2 linked regions of the Arabidopsis thaliana genome follow. Changing the gene in region 1 together with any one later gene gives a genetic interaction. Each region holds a gene or a part of one and is shown on either strand. Other genes may lie near its edges.

What was found.
Region 2: of AT4G02030 (region 1) and CUC2, changing one suppresses a phenotype caused by changing the other (phenotypic suppression), as found in Arabidopsis thaliana (one study listed by BioGRID).

The regions. Positions count from the first base shown.
Region 1 is NC_003075.7:890,356-898,546, reverse strand, and holds AT4G02030 (Vps51/Vps67 family (components of vesicular transport) protein), read right to left. Parts: upstream 6,372-8,191; 5' UTR 6,286-6,371; coding exon 6,115-6,285; intron 6,011-6,114; coding exon 5,983-6,010; intron 5,781-5,982; coding exon 5,734-5,780; intron 5,650-5,733; coding exon 5,510-5,649; intron 5,385-5,509; coding exon 5,330-5,384; intron 5,242-5,329; coding exon 5,134-5,241; intron 5,027-5,133; coding exon 4,928-5,026; intron 4,798-4,927; coding exon 4,720-4,797; intron 4,566-4,719; coding exon 4,488-4,565; intron 4,350-4,487; coding exon 4,197-4,349; intron 3,957-4,196; coding exon 3,856-3,956; intron 3,767-3,855; coding exon 3,699-3,766; intron 3,576-3,698; coding exon 3,502-3,575; intron 3,418-3,501; coding exon 3,351-3,417; intron 3,157-3,350; coding exon 3,041-3,156; intron 2,944-3,040; coding exon 2,689-2,943; intron 2,609-2,688; coding exon 2,492-2,608; intron 2,416-2,491; coding exon 2,344-2,415; intron 2,264-2,343; coding exon 2,213-2,263; intron 2,128-2,212; and 7 more. Other genes in the region: STP7 (sugar transporter protein 7), read left to right, coding at 1-160; AT4G02040 (uncharacterized protein), read right to left, coding at 526-984; SWN (SET domain-containing protein), read right to left, coding at 6,804-6,995, 7,392-7,469, 7,549-7,677, 7,757-7,804, 7,895-7,982, 8,076-8,191. UniProt on the Arabidopsis thaliana protein: Acts as a component of the GARP complex that is involved in retrograde transport from early and late endosomes to the trans-Golgi network (TGN).
Region 2 is NC_003076.8:21,900,685-21,905,700, reverse strand, and holds CUC2 (NAC (No Apical Meristem) domain transcriptional regulator superfamily protein), read left to right. Parts: upstream 1-1,846; 5' UTR 1,847-1,905; coding exon 1,906-2,095; intron 2,096-2,175; coding exon 2,176-2,459; intron 2,460-3,081; coding exon 3,082-3,735; 3' UTR 3,736-3,997; downstream 3,998-5,016.

The DNA.
Region 1 (8,191 bases):
GGTGACAGTAATGACTATCTTTGTGTATTTCCTGTTGCCTGAAACCAAAGGAGTTCCAATAGAAGAGATGACACTCTTATGGAGTAAACATTGGTTCTGGAAAAAAGTATTACCTGATGCAACAAATCTTGAAGATGAGAGCAAGAATGTATCTGTTTAAAGAGAATATAAACTGATTCAAGAAACTTATGTTTGTATTACTATAAGGTTTTTTATTGCATAAGGAGAGATTTGAATCCCATGTGAAAGTGACAACTACAAACTTCAAAATCCGAAACAAAACTAAAAAAAAGCGATTGAAAATAGTCACAGTGACTGTTACACCAAAACACTCGATTACAGAGTAAAGATTTTGGTTGCAATTGGCGTTTTGTGATCACATTCTCCATCTTCTTCTTCTTCTTTGAGATAAACAAAGAGATTTGTTTACTCTCTATCTCAGGATTTCTTCACACATCTGCTCTTACGAGACCATCAAAAGACGGTTTCGATTTTAGGGTTTTTGTTTTCCCCAAATCAGATGATCTAAACAAGGAGATTGTTCTTCGTCCCTAAGAAACATGGAATTGGAACACAGCTTGGAGGCGGCGAAAGAGAGCAATTAGCTCCGGCGAAGCTCTGCAATCCCAAAGCTCCGATCTGTTTCATCAAAATCTCTGGTTCAGGTCCAATTCTATTAGTAGCCGATACAATCAGATCAACATCTTTTATCATCTTCAAAACAGGTCGTCTTGTATCGTCGGAGCTAATGTTTTCCTTGTTCTTATTAAACGCGCTCAATGTCTCACCGCGTTTGAGGATCTTGACTTGTTCCATTACAAGATTTGGATTCGCCGCCGGAGATTTAACAACCGTAGGGCTTTGCTTGCGTCGGCGAGGAGCTGTTGAAGAGTTGCGGCAAAGACGAGGCTTAGGGTTACGGTGGATTAGGGTTTGGTGCTCGAATCGATGGTTTTGAGAAGAGTAAGACATCGCAGTGGCCATTGCTTTTAGCTTTTTGATTAGAGAGAGGGAATGTGAGATTTTTTTTAAGTCTCAAGGAGTTCTTATATAATAGAGAGACCCGTGAGGCCGTGACTATGAATATTTTTTCTATTTTTTCGGCACTCAATTTTAGGGTTTTAGTGTAATTAGGAATTTATGTAGTTTAGTTTTAGGGTTTTACATATCTTTTAAGTCAAATTGCATGTTGCTAAAAAAAAAAATTCAAAGATTTGTTCACAAAAGTAAAGAAGAAGTTACGGTGTAGATTTTACTGGTTCAATGCTAGAGAGTACAATTCAATGGTTTTGATTTACACTACGGATGATAACAAGAAGCGGAAATAAATTGGCAAAAATCATGTATACTTTGTTTGAGTTATGAAAACTTTTAAGAAGAAACTGTGTTGTTGTTGTGCTCCTTTGATTTAGCGAGTTTAGCTTGTATGAGTTTGTCCAAGATCGGTGGCTCCAATGGAATCACATCAAGACATCTCTCCGAAGCCGCAACGATCACCTGTCAATACAAACACACATCATGGTCGGAGAATCAATGGTCAGTTGCAAAAGATAGACATAGAGCCTCTGCTTGATGGTAATAAGAAGAAAAGTAAAGGAAGGAGCTTTAGGTGTAACCACCTCGTCGAGCAAGAAGTCTATTGCAGCTTCGTCCTCAACTGCTTCCTTCAATGGAGCTTTTAAGAACTGAATGTCTAGCTGAATCTGCTGGAACCCGCTCCGGTTAAACGTTTGGAGACGGACATATTCTTGCAAACTCTTCAGACAAAGTTTTACTGTTGTTGTAACAACGGATTCCTGCAAATATTTAGCACGAAAAGAGATCAGGAGATGATGAGCGTGTGGCAGTGCGCGTTTGATATAACTATAAGGGAACCTCTTTCGTTTTTACCTGGGTAAATTCAACCTTGGTGAATATTTCTACTTTTTGCTTGAACAGTTTTGCAAGATGTGTCTCGAAAAGCTGACTACGAGCTCTTTGTGAATTTGACCGTGCCATCTTATCATTATGGAGGGTATTGCTTCGTGATGAGGTTGTAGTGTTACTTCCGTTGCTGTCTGTTCTTTTGTGCTTACGGAAAGTCCCTTGAGGTAAAACTTGTTTCACTTCTTTACCAACTTCTTCTAACTGCGAAGTAGAAAATCCAAACAAATATGATTTATTGCATGCTCTTTAGATAATTTCCAGGTTAAGAGGAGAAGAGTTGTCAAACCTCGTGAAGAAACATATCGACATACATGTGAACCTCTCGTGGCTCCTTGTGCTGCATAATATTTGGAATTAAAAAACAATGACTGGTAAAATGCTTCTCTAAGAAGATTAGCCACACCACAACAGCAATACCTTAACCCAGTTAGGTGTCTTGAACCTTTTTCTCAGTAAAACTGATACCTTCTGTGTTCTTGTGTCTATGTACTGAAATATGAAATGATTTAGTTAGTTGATGTTAAGTTTTGGTAAACGACCTCAAGTTTTGGAGTTTCATTCATACATGCTGGAGAAGTTTCTCGCTGGCTGCGTGGAAGACCCGGCAAAGTTCTCCAGGAATAAAAGCAGGTCCATTCTCAAAGGCTTGGGAATTTCCACCAGAGAAGGAAGCAGCTATTTCCTGAATAAGCATATGAAATTTCTCAAAACCAGCTACCAATTGATTTAAACTTTATGCAAAACTACTTGTAAGAATCTCACCTCAGTAACTCTCGGGATGACCTTTTGTTCGATGAAGACAGAGAGCTGCGCCAATACAAGAATGAGACCAGCATGAATTTTGTCACTCGATTTTCCCTCTATATCGTTTGATGAGCTAGTTTTTCCAGAAAGCACTAGAAATTGAGCTTCTAGTGACCTGAAGAAGTCTTGAGATCCTTTCTGAATCCAACCACTGATTAAATCCTTCATCTTTATAAATATTCCAGTTTTTTCATCAAGAAGCTGACGGAAGTCCTGAAGTGATAGAACGAATATAAGCGTTTTTGAGCATGGAATTCATACAGATGATATAACAGCCAAAATATAATAAATAACAGAAGAAGGAATGTGCCTGAAATATATTTGTGGTGCCTTGTAGCACTGCTTTTTGGCTAGCTTCCAGGACAACCTTCAAGAGTTCCCCTTCAACTGCTTCCTTTTGGTTGATATCGAATTTCAAGAGAGTATCTGCCATGTATATATATACCTCATTATAATTCTATTTCATTTGAAGACTAAAACTTCACGAAGAGATTAATCTACTCTTCAAATTACTTAAAGGCCATTTCACAGAAGTTCTTATGAAAAGTGAAGCTACACTCATTCTCTCTTTTCCCTCACTAAGAAATTCTGAATCCAGTAGAAATTAGAAAACAGCGAACCTGATATATCCTGTTGAAGATGAGAAAACATTCTCGCAACAAATTGCTTAAGAGTAACCTGGGCAGCCTGAAATGAGGAGTGCTAGTAATCATATATAGTTCTACACATTATAACGAAAAATAGAACCACACAACATAAATGAGGGTCAACCTCTGCAGATAAATCAGAGAGTGCAGCCTCAGGTAGCACCTCGTCCATAAGTACCACATCTTCCCATACAATTCCTACGTCCAACAGAAATCAGACAGGGTATATATGTTCATTAGACTGATTTAACCAAAGCTTTCAGAAGAAATGAAAGCAACATAAAAAAGAGACAAGGGCATGAGGAAATTCACTGTACTCACGAAAAATTCCTAGAAAATCTGCTGCAGAAACCCGTTTTTTTATATATAGCTCCATGTACTCAAAGTGCCTAACAACCATAAGTGTTAGAAATTCTGCAGGTCAGACACAAACAAAGTCTCGATTTATGGATCAATATATCAAAGAAAAGTGCGTTACATTGCTGTTAAGGCTCTCGCGAGTTTGAAAAGTCTTTCTTCTGAGTCGGGGAATATTTCTCGATAAGCACGTATGGCCTCAGAAAATCCACGTACGGCATCCTATCAGAAAAAAGGGGACAACCATTAAAATATCAAAAGTGCAAATAAAAAGCTCGTCAAGTCTGATAAACCAAATGAAATAAAAGAAAAGAGATCTCAATATGGTGGCTAATGAGAAAATCTCCTGTAAAGCAGCTGCGGATATTCAAAGTGCTTAATAGATACAGTCAGTTTGACTGTGTTCCAACTTGCATTCATCAAAAACACAAAGGATAAGGAAGCGACATAGTCCGTGTTTACCTCATGAATTTTAGCAGGATGTTGGTCATTGCTTTCTGTATCGTTAGATGAATCATCGTCCTCTACAAGTGTACTTGCCTCCTCAGGCTTTATTTGAAGACCATCAAGAGACTGTTCCAGTTTTTCCAACAGTTTAGCCTTTAAGCTATCAACCTGCAGGATGTGCAATCCAAATTTATGTCACAACCAGTGATAAACCAGTTGTACAAGGATGAACATTACGAACGTTCTAGGTAGCTCTATAACAACTTAAACAAGTCACAGATAATTGAGCTAAGAGAAAGAACTGACAGGGACATCTAACTGCTTAAGAAGCACTGCAGCTTCAGCTCTCGCCTGTATGGATTCTGAATCTGAAAATAGCTTCGTCTGTCAAACAAGCCAAAATAGGTTTCTTGCATCAAGAAATAACAAACACAAAACATAAAGACCAGTTATTTGTTTATATGGTTGATAAGCCAGTATTGTATGTAGATTTTTATTAATCCAGACAAGTATAGACTACTAGGACCAAAAGGTATACCTGCAAGTTCTTTATGATAATTTCTATAGCTTCTTCGGAAGCTCGCCTGCAGTCTTGGAATGATGTATCGCCATATACCTGAACAGAAAGAGAAATTCATATTTTTAAACATATCTCCACATATATATCTTCAGAATGTTAAATGCCCCAGTAACATGAAAAGAATACTACAAAAAAATGGAAAAGTTATCCGAGGACAGATGTAAACCTTGAGAATTGGCATTGCTCCAGTATAGAACCTGACAGCATCGCCATAGGCTTCTGACTTGATACATTTTTGCAGTCTTGCAGGTAAATCATAGATGAACTGCTCTTTCTCACAAAAATTAATTTGAGTAAATTCATATTATTGCTATAATGATCAGGTGACAACACAGCAGATATATAAGCTAGCAAAAATGACTCATTACATACCTGAACTTTACGAAGAAGATTACGAGTCCGGTGCAGTTTCTCTATATGTTCTCTCTTTTCGAAAAGAGAAGTGTTGACCCCATCACTCTTTGATTGTACTGACATTATCTGCATGAGTCAGTTGGGAGATATACTATGAGTGAGAAGTTCCCATAAAAAAATCCAAAACTACGTGTATCATATGTGTTCAAAACACCTTCTGAAGAAGCTGGTCCATATTGCCTTCCATCCCGAAAATATTACTCTTCATCCTACCAGGTAAAGAAGCAACATTTTGAATTTAATATACTACCGAGTGGTGAAATCAAATCATATAGAGAAAAGTGTTAAATGACACACTTAACACCTGAAACGATCCATGAACCATTACAAGTACCTTTTGATTGTATCTGTTGCACTGATAAACTTGTTGTAATTTTCATAGACTAGCATTTGCAAGTCTGTGTCGAGATTTTTAATCTCAGCAGCCATTTGAACATGTCTTTGCAGAAGCACCTCCAAATTCGACTTTTTGATCTGCACAAGCCAATAAAATCACCAGACTGTGGCATATATCTCAATCAGATCGCTAGCACTACTGTCACCACACTTAACACAAACCTCATAAACCCAATTTAGTTCCGAACTATCAACCATTGCAGGAAGATCTTTGATAAGAACAACTAAATTTGCAGAATTCTCATAAGTTTGCATAGAAAATAACCAAACCAGACCACATTGATCAAGAGACCTCTACAAGAACCTTGCACTGTAAACTTCATCCGAAGGGTAGAATTCAAAACTAGCAACTATATTCCTGCTCCAAAAGATAACAGTCGGATCTAAACATATTCTAAATTTCGAACTAACCACTTAGACCAAGATCAAAGAGCCGAATCTAACTTCAGTGAATCGAAATACTCAATAATTTGATACAATATACAAGCTATTGACGCTTGTGTTGACGATTCACGAATATTCTGACAAGAAACGAAGACTAACCATGAGATCCATGTACTGATCAGCATCAAAGGAAGTGCTGTTGATGTTATCGAAAGAGGCGTTGATGGAGGAACCACTCGTCGAGATTGAAGGATCCGGTGCGTAGAAGCTCGACAATAGATCTCTCATTCTCTTCGCCTTTTCGTCCATCGGAGCTGCCTCCGTCGCCATTTTTCTAAACTCCTGCTTCTTCTCGACGACGAAAATATCTGTTACCGGAAGCAGAATTTTGGCGTCGGAGATTCGTAATGTGAATTGAAAAAGCAAGAAGAAACTGGATCCGACTAATCAACTGGGAAACGGATCCGTATCCGATTCGAACCGGAATACGGTTTAGCAGTCGGATTACTTTTTATGAGATTAGGCACTGGTTTAGTGTGATTGGTTCGTTCACTTATTTTAAATCAGTTTTATTCGTTGAAAAGTACATAGATTGGCTTTAGCTGTTCAAAAATCCATAAATTTGAAACTATTTTTCGAAATGATACATTTTTACTTATTGACCCCAATAATTCATAAATTGTTTTATCACCTATACAAAGTCCAAACTCGATGTCAAAATAAAATAAAATCTCAACTCTATAATAATTAATTAATAAAGACAAGCTTAAGTTATCAAACTTCAAATATCATCTCTCACAACTCTATAAGTTATTTTTATAAAAGTTACTTCTCTTAGCCAGTAATCATCAATGAGATTGGTGCTTTCTGGCTCTACGATGAGTAATGGCTGAATCATCTTTCTTGGAGCCTTCAGGTTTGCGAGCCCACACTGGTGCTTGGTCTGGTCCATATCTATAGTCATAGAAAAGCTCTTCGCTAGCTTCTATTCGTTCGTTTGCAAAAATCCCGACCCTGTGATCTCCTGCTACAAACATCACCTACACCACACAGAAAAAGACACCGTACTTATGCGGGAAGCGATGAGACCATGGTTACTACGACAATAGACTGAAAATCGCTCTTTTTTGTAAATAATTAACACCTTTCGAAAAGGGTTGAATAAATCTAGCAGATGATATACACATGTTACTTTACACATTACAATCATAAAGATTGTAGAAACAAGTGTGTTTTGATCATAACCTACAAAGCTAGATTTGATCATCTGTTTTCTATAGTGCTAATTGCGATTAGTTTCTACAAAATGTTATAATCCTAGTCCTCCTTCTAAATGGAACTTTTGAGTGGCTAGAGGTGAGAAAGAAGGTATAATTACTAACCGATCATGTGGTTTTTTCATACCAAAATGGATATGAGAGAGAAGCATTTAGTACCTTAGCGTAGCAATTGGGTTTAGCTGAGTGATTGGCAAATTTCAGCTTGTCACCTTTGCGTTGAGCATCGAGGACGTACTGCAAATATCAAAAGCTTACTGACATATGCGAAATTCAAGAGGAAACTATCAGAAAGAAGGGTGAGAGATTTGGTCACCTGATCATTCAAGTCAAAGAGGAAGGACGAATTTGCCCGGTCATATATTTTCCCACGCTTATCCGCCTCATGGTGTGAGATCAATTCACCGGTGTATTCTCCAAGGTATTCATTTTTGCTGACCGAGTTCTGATGATCAGATGAGGTTCAGATTACATACAAGAGGTATGAAACAGAAGTTAATGAGGAAGATATTCACATGCTTTACCTTTAGAAAAGCACCCCATCCAGCAACATCAGACTTTCCCAATAGGATCTGGTAAATATAGCACATGAGAAACTAGATTTATCAACAATGAATGCATTTTATTTTTAGTAAATACATGATTTGATGACAGTATTATACCCTCTGTTGTTGCCTCAGGAGAAGTCTCATGTTTCCGCATTGCCCTTCTCCGCGTCTTGGTGCTTCACCGAGAGAACCATCTCCACAACTGAGTGAATAAGCAAGGCATCTTAAGTTACTCATCAAATAGTAGATTTGATTGTATATGGCACATCAAGAGATCTAGATTTAAAATGACTACCTAACCCAGCAATTTCTGCAAACATCTGGATCACATTCTCTGCCAGCAGCAAAGCAGGGACACTGCCTACTTCTGCATTGACTCTTTGCACAATGACATCCTCGGAAACGATTTTT
Region 2 (5,016 bases), on another chromosome or scaffold:
TAATCTTTTACTTCAACTATCTGTAATTAAGACAGGAAAGGATCTTATTAATTAGATTTAGTTACTGTCATATGCAGATATGTCTAAAAAGACGTATAGATAGACCTACAATTTCTAGATAGTAATAAATACTACTATTAAACAGTAGTAGCAGGTGTAATAGTCTTAGCATGTCTCTGATAATGATTTTTAATGTATAATTATTACTTTGCATACTTTATAACATCTTCTTTTTTTTAACTAATAGTTACACACATGATAAGTCCGTAGATATGAATACTCGAAGGGGAGAGTTATTTTGATTTAAGTTTATACAATTTTTTCATACGGTTAAAATAGTCAATAAGTCTGTAGTTAATTTATTAGTAGAAATTGATCAACTCACTATCTTTTTAGTTTGATCTTAAGGTCTTTACATTTTTGGGTGTGTCTTTTATTCTTTAGTTTATTCTTTAGTACATTTTTGGGTGGGAAATTTTAAAAAACAAGTCATGTCAAATAGGGCTAAAATTGAAGTTCCACTAAAATAAATAATTTGTATGAGATAATAATCAAAATATTGGAAGTAACAGAAATAAATTAACAATTGTGAAATTTACGTTTAGTCATGTCATTTTGGTGGACCTGTAACAATCAACATAATTGATAATTAGTTATTTGATGAGCCATAATTAATTTATATAAAAAAGGAGAAAAAACAGACTTGAGATAGTAATTAAGAAAACTACAAAACCAGGCAGCATAAATATCTTCTCTGATTTGCAACCTGTAACTTCTTGATTAAATTATTTTTCAATCTTACATCATAAATCTCGTTGCTTGAAAATAATGAAATTTAATTTTCTTTTGCTGAGTCTTACAAATGAATATGAAGCAATGAAAAGTAACTAAAAATCCATCACAGGAGTAAAAAATTGGAAAATGGAAAAGATGAAACAAAAACGAAAAGAAAATCAAGGAAAAAAAAAAGAGAGGTGAAAGGTGTAGAAGGTGGTGGCGTGTAGTAACGAAGTCTCTGTCAAAGTTTTTGATAAATTAATCATGTACTGTGCTGACACTCCAAGATTTGAAACAGCCTTATCGATATAATATCCATTTTTCTATTAAAAATAAAAATTGAAACTCTTCACTTTCCAAATAACTAGTGTATATGTCTAATAATGTATCCCTCACTATACTACTATTGTTTCGATTAGTCATTGTACGTATAATAAATTATTATGTATCCCAATTTCCAAACACAATAATAAAAAGAAATTTCAAGTTCGTAGATAAAAAAAAAGATACAATCTGAATCCTCTCTTTTATTTTCATCACTGACAGAGAATACCACTGCACTTTTTCTCATGCACGCACGCATACTCAGATAGAAACAAGAGCCCATTCCTCGTTTCTTTAATAATTTAATTCAAAGAAATACGGACACTTCATGATTAATTTTAATTTTGTAATTTTAAAACAATCTCGAGTTATGTAAAAAATATATCGATAAACTCAAAAATGTGATGTAATAATCTGCTTTGGCTTTGCTCTCTTTACTACAAGACAAGGCAGAGAAAACCACAGATTCCTATGAAAGAGTAGACGTACCTGTCTTTTTATTATTACTAAATTTATAATTATCTTCTCTACGACTTTCTGGTTTTTAATCTTTTAATAATTATTTTACTTTCACTACCCCAAAAAAAAAGCTTCCCTCTATTTCGCCGTTTTAGATTTACCAAATCCCAATGTATAAAAAAAATAAACTAATAAAACCAAAAAATAATATCCATCCACATTATTACCACGCCCCTTACTCAAGAACCATCCATTATATTAACCTATTTATCTTCTTCTTCAAAACATTTGAGTCTCCTTAGGGTTTTTTCTCTCTCAAACAAAAGCTTTAGATCTTTCTTCTTAATGGACATTCCGTATTACCACTACGACCATGGCGGAGACAGCCAATATCTTCCACCGGGTTTCAGGTTTCATCCCACGGACGAAGAGCTCATCACTCATTACCTTCTCCGCAAAGTCCTCGACGGTTGCTTCTCAAGCCGTGCCATCGCAGAAGTTGATCTCAACAAGTGTGAGCCTTGGCAACTTCCCGGTAAGAAAATACAAAACTAACTTACTTGTAGTTCTTTTGTAATTAAGGTTTCTGAAATCTTTACTCTCAATGTTACTTAGGGAGAGCTAAGATGGGAGAGAAAGAATGGTACTTCTTTAGCCTCCGTGACCGGAAGTATCCGACGGGACTGAGAACTAACAGAGCAACTGAGGCTGGTTACTGGAAAGCTACCGGAAAAGACAGAGAGATCTTTAGTTCAAAGACTTGTGCACTTGTTGGGATGAAGAAGACTCTTGTCTTTTACAAAGGAAGAGCTCCGAAAGGAGAGAAGAGTAATTGGGTTATGCATGAATATCGTCTTGAAGGCAAATTCTCTTACCATTTCATCTCAAGAAGCTCCAAGGTACTTCGATTTAACCTTTCATTAGTTATTTTGTTGATAAAGTAAAGCCTTAATTTTCTTTGATTAATAAATTTACAATCTATTATTTGGAAAAAAAATTCGAGAGTGTGACATAGTCGGTGACGTTGATTTTTTTCTCTTTTGCTTTATTGCATTTAATTTTGATGGCTGAAAAGGCATGGTTCTTTACTGTGGTTATCTGAGAGCATTATGGAACATGAAATAGAAAAGATCTGCTGTTTTTATGTATTGGGATTTCAATCATAATGGTGTTTTCCTAAAGTAAGAAAACATTCAATAGCTCTGATAAAATAAAATATTAATACATCCTACTTTTGGAAAGCTTAATGCAAAAAACCAGAACCAATGCAAATCTTCAGGATTTTTTTCTGACCTAGATATATTAAAAAGAAATTTAATTAAATTAATTTTACTTAATTAGTGTTCCATATCCATTGTAGACTTGTAGTGTCCAATGTACATTCCCTCTGTGCACGCTTTTACTCTATGGTTTTTCTTAATCTTCACTCTCTTTTATTTCCAAGATCTAACATTGACTTTCTCATCAAACATATATTATATAAAATATTTGACTTTTCAAAACTCTAATTTATTCCTTCAGGATGAATGGGTGATCTCTAGGGTTTTCCAGAAAACCACTTTAGCTAGCACCGGAGCCGTCTCCGAAGGAGGAGGAGGAGGAGGAGCAACTGTGAGCGTAAGCAGCGGTACTGGTCCATCTAAAAAGACGAAAGTACCCTCAACAATCTCAAGAAACTATCAAGAACAACCAAGCTCTCCTTCCTCCGTCTCACTCCCACCTCTCCTGGATCCGACCACTACCCTCGGCTACACCGACAGCAGTTGCTCCTACGACAGCCGTAGCACCAACACAACCGTCACAGCCAGCGCAATAACCGAGCACGTGTCCTGTTTCTCCACTGTCCCTACTACTACTACGGCCTTGGGCTTAGACGTTAACTCATTCAGCCGTCTTCCACCGCCGCTAGGGTTTGACTTTGACCCTTTTCCTCGTTTCGTTTCTAGAAACGTCTCGACTCAATCTAACTTCAGATCGTTCCAAGAAAACTTCAATCAATTTCCTTACTTTGGATCGTCTTCTGCATCGACTATGACCTCCGCCGTTAATCTGCCTTCTTTCCAAGGCGGCGGAGGCGTCTCCGGGATGAATTACTGGCTACCGGCGACTGCCGAAGAGAATGAGTCAAAGGTCGGTGTGCTTCATGCTGGACTTGACTGTATTTGGAACTACTGATCACAAAAGAGGTGACTTATAATTGTTCCCGTTAGGGTTTTATTTATGTATTTCTAGGATGATTATGGTATTATGAAATGTGTGTACCGAGGAGCTTAATATTGCACTTAGCTTGATGTTCCGCTTAATTCTCTAGTTTTAAGTTTATCCGGTTGTGTTAATTAGGAGGTAATATGCAAGGAAAATGTTTTCTAGACTATGAACGTGCATATGTATAAGCTATGCTCGTTTTTGTAATGTTTGACATTATGTTAATTTCATGGCTTTTTCATGTTTTATATTTCTCATGATATTTGACATGTGTCCTTGGTTATCAATACAATCATACAGTATATTACCGACAAAATGAATTTCTTCGGTCGCTTCTAGATACCTTAGTTTTCTTCTTGTTAATACAATTTGATATGGCGGTTATATATATGTTTCCGGAATTCAACCGTTCCGAATCTTCGGTTAGATGATTTCCGTAATTACATAACATGGCTAATTATTTAATTTCTTCATCAATTGAAGATGCTCAAATGTAAAACATGCATGTAGTTTTTGTTTATTAATTCTAGCTAATTAAGGTTGACATGTGTAACTGCCAAAATATTTCAAGAAAGTTTCATGCTTTTAAAGTAAGTACTCATAATTCAGTGGATTAATCAGTCTATGAACACCATTTTCAGTTAGGTGTATCTTCTTGCTACAATCGTACACATATGAGACTAAACACAACAATTTGCGTTTGGCTTAATTGATTAAGATAACATGCATGTACATGGTAGTTACTGAAAATAATTTACATACTAATTTTGATTAACTTAATGCATTGTAAACCCACCAAAGAAAAGAAGTAGTTTTGAAATTAAGGATTTTGAAACGGGGATGATGAATATGATGCGCATGCTGACGAACGGACCACTCCCAAATTCAGATCTTGTACAACAGTCCACCTCACTTTCAGAAGGATGGCTTTCACATTTCTATTTTTAGAAAGAGACATAATTAATAATACCTCTGTTTATTACCATTATATATGTGTTTTCATTTCACGTGTGTATACTAGTAGGAGTATGATATATGTATGTGTGTAACACAACCATCATCATCATCATCATCATTACCATCATCAATTATTGCTCTTGTTGCATCACCAACCTATACTACCTAGTCATAAGACAAATTCACAGACTCACATATACGTCTTGCTAAATGGCAAAATTTCATGATGTTTTAGCTAAAGGAATATATGTACACATTTGTATGCTTATTATTTTGGGTTTCATTGGTTACATT